Ovis aries: one gene and its partners. The protein of the gene in region 1 purifies or fractionates together with the protein of each later gene. This does not show direct contact. Links are inferred from orthologs where the notes say so. Each region holds a gene or a part of one and is shown in the gene's direction. Other genes may lie near its edges. The genes, in order: VSX1, WDR20 and USP12.

The links.
Region 2: the proteins of VSX1 (region 1) and WDR20 purify together in Homo sapiens (affinity purification with mass spectrometry; 3 studies listed by BioGRID and IntAct, with this or other methods). This does not show direct contact. The link is inferred for Ovis aries from reciprocal best matches to the Homo sapiens genes VSX1 and WDR20.
Region 3: the proteins of VSX1 (region 1) and USP12 purify together in Homo sapiens (affinity purification with mass spectrometry; 3 studies listed by BioGRID and IntAct, counting the BioPlex papers as one, with this or other methods). This does not show direct contact. The link is inferred for Ovis aries from reciprocal best matches to the Homo sapiens genes VSX1 and USP12.

The regions. Positions count from the first base shown.
Region 1 is NC_056066.1:42,253,869-42,258,135, reverse strand, and holds the start of VSX1 (visual system homeobox 1), read left to right. Parts: upstream 1-1,425; coding exon 1,426-1,849; intron 1,850-4,163; coding exon 4,164-4,242; intron 4,243-4,267. UniProt on the Homo sapiens protein: Binds to the 37-bp core of the locus control region (LCR) of the red/green visual pigment gene cluster. May regulate the activity of the LCR and the cone opsin genes at earlier stages of development. Dispensable in early retinal development.
Region 2 is NC_056071.1:64,661,371-64,665,018, forward strand, and holds part of WDR20 (WD repeat-containing protein 20), read left to right. Parts: intron 1-74; coding exon 75-261; intron 262-1,270; exon of another isoform or gene 1,271-1,442; intron 1,443-2,855; coding exon 2,856-2,959; intron 2,960-3,648. UniProt on the Homo sapiens protein: Regulator of deubiquitinating complexes. Activates deubiquitinating activity of complexes containing USP12. Anchors at the base of the ubiquitin-contacting loop of USP12 and remotely modulates the catalytic center of the enzyme.
Region 3 is NC_056063.1:32,990,980-32,994,255, forward strand, and holds part of USP12 (ubiquitin carboxyl-terminal hydrolase 12), read left to right. Parts: intron 1-1,438; coding exon 1,439-1,625; 3' UTR 1,626-2,648; coding exon of another isoform or gene 2,649-2,750; 3' UTR 2,751-3,276. UniProt on the Homo sapiens protein: Deubiquitinating enzyme that plays various roles in the regulation of the immune response and inflammation.

The DNA.
Region 1 (4,267 bases):
CAAAAGACAATTATCCTAAAGGAAAGTTATGGCTTTGCTAATCTCAGGAACAGCTTGCGAGGGGGAGATTTGGGTCTTCTTTTAATAATGAAAAGTTAATGCGCAGCCTCTTGTAATTATCTTTATCGGAAGCCCCTCGCTTAATCCTGGGGTTTGCAGAAGACCCAGTTGGGGGCGCAGACTTTGCCGGATTCAGCTCCAGCTCGGGATCCTTCTCGGCTCCGGCTAGTCCCGGCTCCGGCTCGGCTCGGCTCGAGCTCGGGCTCGGCTCGGGCTACACCGCGGGGTGCGCGCAGAGACCCACCAGGCGCCCACGCTGCGCTGGGAGAGCTGCCTCACCCCTCACTGAGCGCCTACTCGCCGCTTGCCCTCTGAAGGGCTGTACTGAGAGGTTCGGCTTCCCGGATCCCGGGTTTGAGAAGGATGGACTCCGAGCGATTCGGGTTTGGTAGGCTCGGATTTTCCGAGTGGGAACCAGGAGAGGTTTACCCACGTGCTGCGTTTCGAGACAACTTAATACGGGCGCCTTACGTGAAAATCAGGCTTTCTTCGAAAAATTATAAAATCTGACATTAATTTGCTAGCTTCTGTGTGGGGTGGGTCCCAGTAGACACGCCCTATTTTCCAACTTACCTTCCCCATTTAGGGCTCGCCAGATAATATACTGGTACACACTTATAATTTTAAAACTCACTGTTCATCTGAAATTTCGATTTCACTGGACCTCCTGTAATGCAATTTGCTAAACGTGGCTTCCTTGCCCTGGCCGGGTTAGTCCGCTCAGGCCTGTCTCTACTTCTTCTCCAGCTCCCGTGAATTTTGCGACCTGGGACAGTCCGGCCGCTAGAGCGCTGGGGTGGGTTTGGCTGGAGGTGGAGTAGGCACGGATTAAATAAATGTTTTCCACTCCTTTCCCCTTGGGGATTTTCAGGGAAGGCCTTGGCTCAGGCGGTGGCATTGGAGGGCTGGCGGGGTTCATATTGGTGGTGATGGGGAGAGTGCGGCTGGGAACGGGGTCTTGGTCTTAATGGACGACTGGATGCGGGGAAGGCGGGTCTGTGCCGGGCCTCCACCGGGGAATCCACCCGGAAGGGGAGAGAAGACTCCGAAGGAATCTGGAACTTTCGGCGTTTAGAGGTTTAGGGAGGGGACGACTCGCGCCGAGAACCGGCGTGGGGTTGGTAGCGGGGACGACTGGAGAGGAGAGAGGAGAGGGTGCTGATGGAGGGGACCGCAGCTGGGAGGGCGGCGACCAAAGGGAGGGGGGCAGGTGGCGTCCCCATGTCGCGGGGTCCCGGGCGTGACGCGTCCGCGCCGCGCTGATTGGAGCCCTCCGGGAGCCCGACTGTATAAAGCGCTCTCAGAGCTGCGCCCCCTCCGCGAAAGTGACGGACCAGAGGGCCCAGCTTCGCCGCTGGAGAAGCCATGACCGGCAGAGACGCGCTTTCCGACGGGCGTGCCAGAAGCAGGGCGCTGGTGCCCGGAGGCCCGTCCACCGGCTCGCGCCCCCGGGGCTTCGCCATCACCGACCTGCTGGGCCTGGAGGCCGAGCTGCCCGCACCTGCGGGCCCCGGCCCGGGATCCGGGTGCGAAGGCCCGGCAGCCGCGCCCCGCGTGGGCCCAGGGCTCGGAGGCTCCTGCCCAGCACGCGGAGCCCTTCCGTTGGGCCTCGGTCTCCTCTGCGGTTTCGGCGCGCAGCCCCCTGCGGCTGCCCGGGCACCCTGCCTGCTCCTCGCCGACGTGCCCTTCCTGCCGCCCGAGGGGCCTGAGCCCCCCGCTCCGCGCTTCCCCGGCCGCCCACTGCCCTCGGCCGCCCGCCAGAAACGCAGCGAGAGCGTGTCGACGTCGGGTAAGGATGCCAGTCCGCGACCCTACTGTCTCTTCCCTCGGCTCGGGTGGGCAGAGTGACACTCTGGCGCCCCGTCGGGCCCCACCCCAGTCCCCCAGATCTATAGAAGTGGGGACCCTAGAGCGTAGCGGCGCCGGGAGGCGCATTCTCGCACCAGCACCCTCTGCGCCCCTGCCCCCGCCCCCGTCCCGGCCTCTCCTCTGGGCTTGGTCGCCGCCACCCCGCGGACACCACCACCCGATCAGGACCCGCCCTGGGGTCTCGGCGACCCAGCCTCCGGGGGACACTTTCCGCCACGCGGGGCTCGGCCTCTGGGTGCCGCAGGGGTCGGGAAACCTGGGTGGGCCTACCTTGTTTATCAGCGGCACGGAACCCGGTACCCGCCGGCTCCAAGAGGGATTAGACAAACCGATTGACGGATTGACAGGCCCTTGAGCGCCGGGCGGAGGCCTGGATCTGTCCTCCTCCGGGTGCTGAAGAGCGAGTCTGGGCACCCCGCTTCTCCCCTACTCCCCTCACTGGAGAAGCGGGCTCTCCCTCTTACAGCAGCTGTGCCCAGATCCTCAGAGAAGTCGGCACGGACTGTAGAGTAAAGCAGGGAGCGGTGGAAATCGACAAAGACAGGGCGGAGAAGTCGAAAGGTTTGGGGCATGGGGGAAGAGAACGGAGAATTTCAGAAGAGTTCGAGGGAGAACAGCTATGTGATAGTAGACCGCAGAGCTGAGCATCCAGGCGGCTGAATGCAGAAACTGCGCTGGTCTCCACTACTGATTAAAGGAAGCAGGCGCGGTCGGCAGACACTCACTCTGAGAGGACTTTATTTCATGAGTGTCTACTAGGTGCCAAGTTGCTTCGGTCCTGTCCGGCTTTTTGAGACCTGATGGACGGTAGCCCGCCAGGCTTCTCTGTCCATGGGATTCTCCAGGCAGGAATATTGGAGTGAATTGCCATGCCCTCCTCAGGGGATCTTCCCGACCCAGGCATGGAACCTGCATCTCTTGTGTCTCCTGCATTGGCGGGGGGTTTCATTACCACCAGTATCTAGCAAATAACCACCCCCTCCATTAGTTGTCTCACTAAAAATGCAGGAACCGATTTCATACTGTGGATTTTTTTTCCCTGTGAGGACCCACAAAGCTAAGGGAAAATACAACCACATCCTAGCCTGTGAGGGTATTTCTCAAGACCAAGACCAATAGTGTCTTGTGGAATCGTCATGTGACTGGGAGTGTAATGAAAGTTTCTTAGAGCCACAATAAAAAGGAAAATAAATAGGTGAAACAGATTTAAATACTATGTCTCATTTAATCCAATACCTACAAAATATTGTCATTGTATGTGTTATCAATATAAGAGTTATTAATATTTTACTCTGAGGGGGTCTATTGTTTTCAGTCTATTGGATATTTCATGCTCACAGCTGGTCTCAATTTAGACTGGCCACATTTCAGGGCTCCATAACCTTATGTATCTAATGGTATCAGATTGGACAGCACAGATAGTATAATATCATAATCCAATCTTCTGGTGAACTCACTGATGTAGGAGTAAAACTGATATTATTTTACTACTTTTGCTTTTATTAATTTACATTTAGTATTTTGAAACATATATGCTTTTTAACAACAAAGCTGACCATAGTTCGGTCTTCTAAACTTTCTTTCAGCTTAAATCTTTCAATATAATGGATTTCAAAAGATAAAGCATAGTGGAGTGGGTTCTTAAAATTTTTGATGTGCATCTGTGAATCATCTGGGTACCCGGGCCAAGAATGAGTTTCCCAGGTCCCACTTTCAGAGATTTGAAATTGGTACAGCAGGGCTGTCACAAACCTCAGTCTTCCCGTTGAGAAGTGGTGGCATAATGGCTAAGATGAAGAACGTGAGATGGAAGCAGAAGGAAGTGTATGGATTTGGAAGCTGAAGGGAACAGGAAATGCAATTAGTGTTCAAGTAGCTTAGGCTTCACACACATTTGGGGTTTGAATTCCAACTTCACTGTTGACAACCTTTGTGATCTTGGGACAAGTTAATCTCTCTGTGCCTTGGTTTCCTCTGTAAAAGGAGGATAATAATAGCAGCTGTCATGGAGGTTTTTTTTTTTTAAATTTATGAAGAATAATGTTGATATGCATGGGCAATCAGTTAAGTGCAGCACTTGGAATATGTCATCAGATGTGAAAACTGTGATCTTGTCTTGTTAAATATTCACATCCCAGACAAGTTCATAGCTTCAGTCCTCAAATTAAAATCCAGAGGGCAAAATGAAAAATGTGCTCACCTCTAAAGTCCTCTTCTTCTCCTTGTGCTAACAGATGAGGACAGCCCTTCTGAAGACAGGAGTGACCGGAAGGCGTCGCCGGCCCCCAGCAAGAGGAAGAAGAGGAGGCACAGGTACTAAGATCCCACATGGCGTTCC
Region 2 (3,648 bases), on another chromosome or scaffold:
TATAAAATAGTGTAACTTAGCGTTCTCATCTCAATGTGCTGTTTACCGTGTGTATTTTTCTCTTTCTCCTCCAGGCTGCTGACTTGAGTAAACCAATAGATAAAAGGATATACAAAGGAACACAGCCTACTTGTCATGACTTCAACCACCTAACAGCCACAGCAGAAAGTGTCTCTCTCCTAGTGGGCTTTTCCGCAGGCCAAGTCCAGCTTATAGACCCAATCAAAAAAGAAACTAGCAAACTATTTAATGAGGAAGTAAGTAGCACCCTGTCTTAGCTGTTAAGAACCCCTATAAGAATGTATACGTTCTTACCGAGGGTATGGGCCTTATAATTTTACTCTTTGAGTGAAGCCCATTTTCCATCCTCAGCTGTCCTACCTAGTATGACCCAAGTTTAAATGTGGTGCGTTAACTTGGTGACTTTTACCTGTTCTTTATTGGGCTAACTGTTATTTTGTGCATTTTTGTGTCTATAGCAGGTGTTTTAAGAAAAATTGTTTTTATAATGGAGATAAGGCTTGATCTTTATAATTTAAATAAGAAGATAAAGAATTCTAAACTGTGTTCACATCGCCAGAAAATTTCAAGCAGATCAAAGAACTTGCTAATATTTCCTTAGTTTTCGCAAACGGTAGATAAAGTGTTAATGTGTGTGTTTGACAGGCATACATCTAAGAATTTGCTCTCTTGCTCTTGAAAGCGTTTGCTCTAAAATCACCTCTGATGTGGTTAGAAGTCCTGGCCCTTGAAACTGGCTGGCATGGCACAAGCTCCTGCCTGTGTTGTGCTGTGTCCTGGGATTCCTGGTGTCTCCAGTCTCATTCTTGATGGAGCCCAAGAGATCTGAGCTGTTTGTTCAGAAACATGTCAGAACCTTTAAATCTGGGCAGATGGAAGTTGCCGGACGGATTACATCTTTAAAAGCTTTTGGAGTGGCTTTTTAGTCTGAAGTCTTGCCGTTACATATTTGATGCACTTCCTCTGCTGTTTCAGTGTGACTTTCCTAGTAAATGGAGCGGACGAGGTCGGCTTGCTGAGTTAGAGGCCCTGGCTGCAGTCTCCTTGTAACCTCAGCCCTGGGGTGATGAGGTCAGGTCACCTGAGCCCCTGTCGGGAAGGGCAGGAGGTTTTGCATTGTTGCATGGTCTAAAAGTTATTAACTTGAAACAGAAGTAAGTTACAGATTCTGGCTTTTAAGAAAATAATTTTGTTTGGGAAAGAATACTCCACTTGACAAATTGCAGTTAAAATTCTGATTCTTTTGCAGTCCCTATGGTATATGCTGTCCATGTATATCCAGTATCCATCCACAGTGCTCCTGTTGGACTTTGCCAATGGATTTGGTGAAATCTTTTGAACCATGCTATCTCCTCTTCTAGTTTCATCTGGGTTGACTGGAACAAAACTTGCCATCTGGATTGACAAACTAGAGAGGAAAAGTATTTAATCCCATTTTCTGTTTAAAAAAAAAAATCTTAAGCAGAAAATTATTCTGTTTCCCTAAACATTTTATTAACAGCATCTGAGGGAGTGATTTCTAAGTGGCTGGATGATTCGGGGGGAGGTTGGTGGTGGGGAGAGTGGGGGTACAAAACTACCCTTGCCTGCACTCTCAGTAGAAACGCGAACTTGGCATCCTGCAGGGTCTTTATTTAGGTGGGGACGTGCTTTCGGCGGGGAGGGACTGGAGCCATGTAAAGGGTGGTTGGTAAACAAGGTCGGGAGGCCGCCCGGCTGTGGATGGCACAGCATGCCTCTTGGAGAACAAGAAGGATTTGTGTGCCGTCGCTGGAGGGGGGTGGCGTGCAGCAGAGGCCCCAGGGCCCCGAGAGCACTCGATCGCCTCAGCTCGCCCCATTCCTCACTCAGGATAGCCAGGAGCCACAGGCTGCAGCTCCCCACCCTCAGGGAGTGAAGCGGAGTTACCTCCTACTCTTGTACATTTTATTTGGAAAGTGGCTGTTCAAAGGGAGAGAGGATTGTGTGTGGTTTAATGCCAACTTGGCATTTACAGCTCGAGGCTGAAATTGATTGCCCTTCACAGTGAGGGTGTTCTTTGTCGTACGGATAGCATTCTCATCAGATTTTGGTCAGGATGTCTTAGAGACAGGGTCATTGGAGGTTTGTTTCTCAGAGGGTGCCAGGGATGGTGGTCGAAGCAGTTGTTGGGCCGTGCTTTGCATTCATGTGAGACTTGGAGGTTTCCGAGTATTTTACCTGCTTTCTCTGCACGAGAGGGCGGGCTGTTGTCTCCACTGTGCAGACAAGGAATTAGAGAGAGGGCAAGTGAGTCGTCCAGACCCGGCAGCAATTTGATGATATGCTTAGATCCAGAAATTAATTCCACACATCCTTACTGGCCATAGATAGGAAGCCCCATCATAGCTGGTTGCCATATGGGCCTTGTCACCTCTGGAGCTCACTCTTCTGTGAGATGGACAGGGAGGATGTGGAGTGTGTGTTACGAACAAAGTAGCAAGAGAGGTGAGTATTAATTGCACTCTTCAGGATGTACCAGATACCATAAAATAAAAACAAAAATTCAGCGAGGGAAGTTTGAGAAAGCTTGCAGAAGGTGACATTTGACCTGGGTTTGAAAGATGCAGAGGAGTTGGAGGAGGATGAGAAGGGCCTTCGAAGCTGGAGAAAACACCTTAGCATGTGGAGGAACATGAGGCCAACAAAGGAGTCCAGACCTCAGTGCGTGGGCCTTGGAGTGGCTGGAGGTGAAGCTGGACAGGTGAACTGGAACCAGATTGCAAAAGCCTTTCGTGACATGCTGAGAAATTTGGATCTGACACTGGAGGCTGTGGGGCAACCTTTGGGGTTTTACTTTATGAAGGAAGTGATAGGATCAAGTGTGTTTTTTTCGAACTCTTGTCAGCACTTGGGGAAGGCGGATTGGAATGAAGATAGCAAGATGAGTGAGGAGGCTCTAGTGACTGTCCAGGAGAGAGCTGAGGACTTGACCTGGGGTTGGGACCATTTCCTCATTCATTCTGCAGACCTTGGTGGCTGACCGTGTGCAGAGAACACCTGCCCTGTGTTTCCCCTCCAGAGGGGGGAGAAGTGTGAACAATGCCACACACACTCACATACACACACTCACACGGCACGTGGTGGTGACTTGTGATGTCAGAGGAGACAGTGGGCCTGAGGGAGAGAGACAGACACAGCGCCTGATGGACAGGGACGTGGGGCATGTCTCGGAGGAGGTGGTATGCTTTGAGCCTCGCCTCGCGTGAGAAGGCCCCCCCAGGTACGAAGCTGGAGCTGGAGTGTCCCTGCAGGAGGGAGAGCAGGGGCAGCCCCTGTGGGAATGCACCCGGGGCCAGGAGCCCTGGGAGAGGGGTGTCGGGTGAGGGCCTGGCCACGGTTGCTGCCTGGCCTCCGTGCAGGGAATCTCGCACAGGGGAGCCAGAGGTGGTCTGCGTGGTGTTTTTGAAAATTACTCTGGCTCCATCTTGGAGACGGAGTTGGAGAGATAGATGAGCAGATGCTGGGTTTCTGGCTCACTAGGCGCACTGGGTGAGAGGGGAAGGAGCAGGTGCTGGAGCAGAGCGAAAGGTCAGAGTTCCTTTTCCCGCTTGTCAAGCTTGCGAGGCCGGGGTAGTTGGGTCTGTGGATCTGGAGGTTCAGACTAGA
Region 3 (3,276 bases), on another chromosome or scaffold:
TTCCCCTGGTGTTTGGAAACTTGTACCAACAGTGTATTGTATCCCAGAGAACGAGAACGTTAGCTGTCCCTCCCTCCCACCTTCCTGCTCAGAACATGGTCAAGATAGCTGGGAGGGGGGGGGTCCACGTCTGTCACGGTCCTTAACCTCCATGGTCTGCGTCAGCCCATTTCCTGTCATTTATCCTCAGCAGTAATCTCGCTTTTCCATTTTTGGAGCATTCTGTTTCTAAAGTAAGTAAAGACATCTGAACAGAGGAAAACAGTATCAGATAACTTACAGAACCCTACTGTAATGATCAGACTGGAGGTTCATGTTAGCATTAAGGTTTTTTTTTTAAGTTTAAGATGTTTTCTTCTGCAGGGAAAAAGTACTCTCGTCATATCTTTCTGTCAACAAGATACTCATTTTAACTACGGGATCAAAGATCTGAAGAAACTGGGAGGCAGCTTATTCTCACATCTGAGGTTGCTGCTTTTAAAACAGTATTCAGAGCCATAAAGGATAATTTGTGTTGAAAATTTTTTCAAGGCCTATAATATAATAATTGTGGTAGAATTGTAATTTAATTAAAAATGATATAGGCTTTTCTAGTGAGTCATACTTAAGTAACTGGGAGCAGGTAAAAAAAATATTTGATATGTTCTTTAAAAAGAATTTCTTTTAGGGAATTTGCTGGTGATCCAGTGGTTGGGACTCTATGCTTCCACTGCAGGGAACATGAATTCAGTCTCTGGTTGGGGAATGAAGATCCCACAAGCCAAGCAGCATGGCCCCCCAAAAAAATAAACCCCACCTTTATTTTTACATTTTTCTAGATTTCTGTATCCCAGATTTATTTAAAATGAAATGCAGAGGCAATTATAATAATTACATGTTGCTAAGAATTAAATACTTAAAACTAGCACTAATAATACTAAAAATAAGTTATTTGTTTAGAGAAGTTTATGAAGTTGGAGCTTGATTGCAGATCCAAGATTTCAGTATCTTTTTCAAGCATCATGTGGAATTTTTCCTCAAGAAAAACTATTGCCAAGGGTTAAGATTCAGAAATAATTCTATGTACATTGTTCGACAGTTATAATTCAGTGTGTTCTGGCCTCTCCTGCCCCACAAAAATGCTAGAAATTTTATTTAAGTCTCTTGCAGAATCAAATTTGAACATTACTTCAAAAATAATAATTTTGAAAGGCAACAAAGAATTTTAATAGTATAGCTTTATATAGATAGAATACTGGTTATATCTCTCAGAGTACAGATTATTTTAAAATCAAATGACAGTTCAGATCAACGTAGCTTGATCTCTTGGGGGGAAAGAATAGGTAAGGAACATTTTTATCTGTTTCAGTTTTTCTCCTTTCAGAACAAGGAATTTAGAACATAGAAGAGTAATACTAATAAACTGTATAAAGCTAACTTTTGCTTCTCTCTGTTTTAGTGGTCCCAATCGAGGCCATTACATTGCAATAGTTAAGAGTCATGATTTTTGGTTGTTGTTTGATGACGACATTGTAGAAGTAAGTAGTTTCCTGATTTCTTGTTTTCCTTTAAAGTTGTGTGTGCATCTTGCTCGTGACCTTTTCCTTCCAGCTTCTCATTGTGTAGGACAAGTCTTCAGGTTGTAATCGAATCCCTACTTCTCTCCCTAATGCCCAGTTCAGTGCTGCTGGAACAGTCGGCTATCCTTGAAAATGTCTAGAATAAAAACAAGTGAGATCTTTCAACCACAGAGCTAGTTAAGAAAAGAAAAAGAACTTATACCGTTAAGAAAATAACTTACTGAGCTATAAGACACAGTTAAGTGTGCAGATTTTAAGCAACAGTTTAAATTGTTACATGTGAACACACACACGAGTGCACACACATAACTGCCGTCTAGATCAAGAAATAGTGTGTTTCAACACGCCAGCAAGCTCTGTCATTCCTTTTCCCCTTCAGTACCTACGGCTTTCCCCTCCCATCCGCCATCCCCTGGAACCCACTGTTTCTAATCTTATTGCCTTACTGGGGTTAATTTTGTCTCTGTTTGAATACAAGTGGACTCATCCAGTATGACTTCTTTGGTGTCTTTTTTCACTCATTCGCGTTTATGCAGTTCATTCTTGTTACTTGCAGTAGTGGTTCTTTTTTTTCTATCTAATTTTTCATTGTACAAATATACCATGTGAGAAACTTGGCTTTTTGTCCATTAATGATTATTAAAGTAAAACTGCCTTGGTTACCCTCGTACAAGTCTTTCTCTGATCATATGCACTCGTTTTTTTTTTTCTTGAGTATATATTAGGTTGGACCTTATGAAATTGCCAAGTCCATAGATCCCAGATGGTTGACAATCAGTTGTTTCTTATAGTTCATCCTGTACCTAGGAATAGAATTGCTGGGTCACAGGGTATGTTCAGGCTTAGAAGATGATGAAAGTATTTTGTCTGCGTCTGGTGCGGTTTTGCAGTCCCAGCTGTGAATGAGGGTTTCGTTTGTTCCACATTCTCACCAATACTGGGCATCATCCAAGCCATTCTGATTGTGCAGAGCTGTTTTACAAATGAGAAAATGAAAGACATTATCCTAAGAAAGGCTGAAGCTTTTACTGGATTCCAGGAGTCCGAAGAGCTCATTTTTCTACTGACGTTTGTTTTTTTCCCTCACAGAAAATAGATGCACAAGCTATTGAAGAATTCTACGGGTTAACATCAGATATCTCGAAGAACTCTGAGTCTGGCTACATCCTTTTCTATCAGTCCCGGGACTGAGGGAGCTGCGATGAAGAGAGACTTTCTGCCTCATTTCTTCTCTGGTTATTTGGGAAAAGATCAAGCACCGATTTTTTCCAAGAAAAGAGAACTGCGGGGAGCTCAGGGGGGCAGCAGCGCACTTTGCACACAATAAAGCAAAGGCTGTGGGTTAACACGCTCTTCCTATCCTGGTAGTTGATTGATTCGCTCAGGTATCATGCTGTCTGTGCAGCTCTGCACAAGGCAGTGGAATCAGAGATACCAGCTCCTCTTGTGGAAACAGCCTTCCAGTAACCGACATGCATTTTCTCTTCCTTCATTGCACCAGTAGTGATTGAGCTCCTTGGGGGTGCAGCAGAGAGAACGGGAGTCTGTGCGAGGTTATACTGACGATGGCAGGAGGTGATGCTGAACACGCCGCACACGCGCGCGCCTGGGTTGGACACACAGAGAGAGAACACTGGGTAGTCTTTTCGAGCGTAAACCAGAAATGCTTTTTGGGCCCAACACTTGCAGTCGCCTTCCTGATGTAAAGAGACTTAAC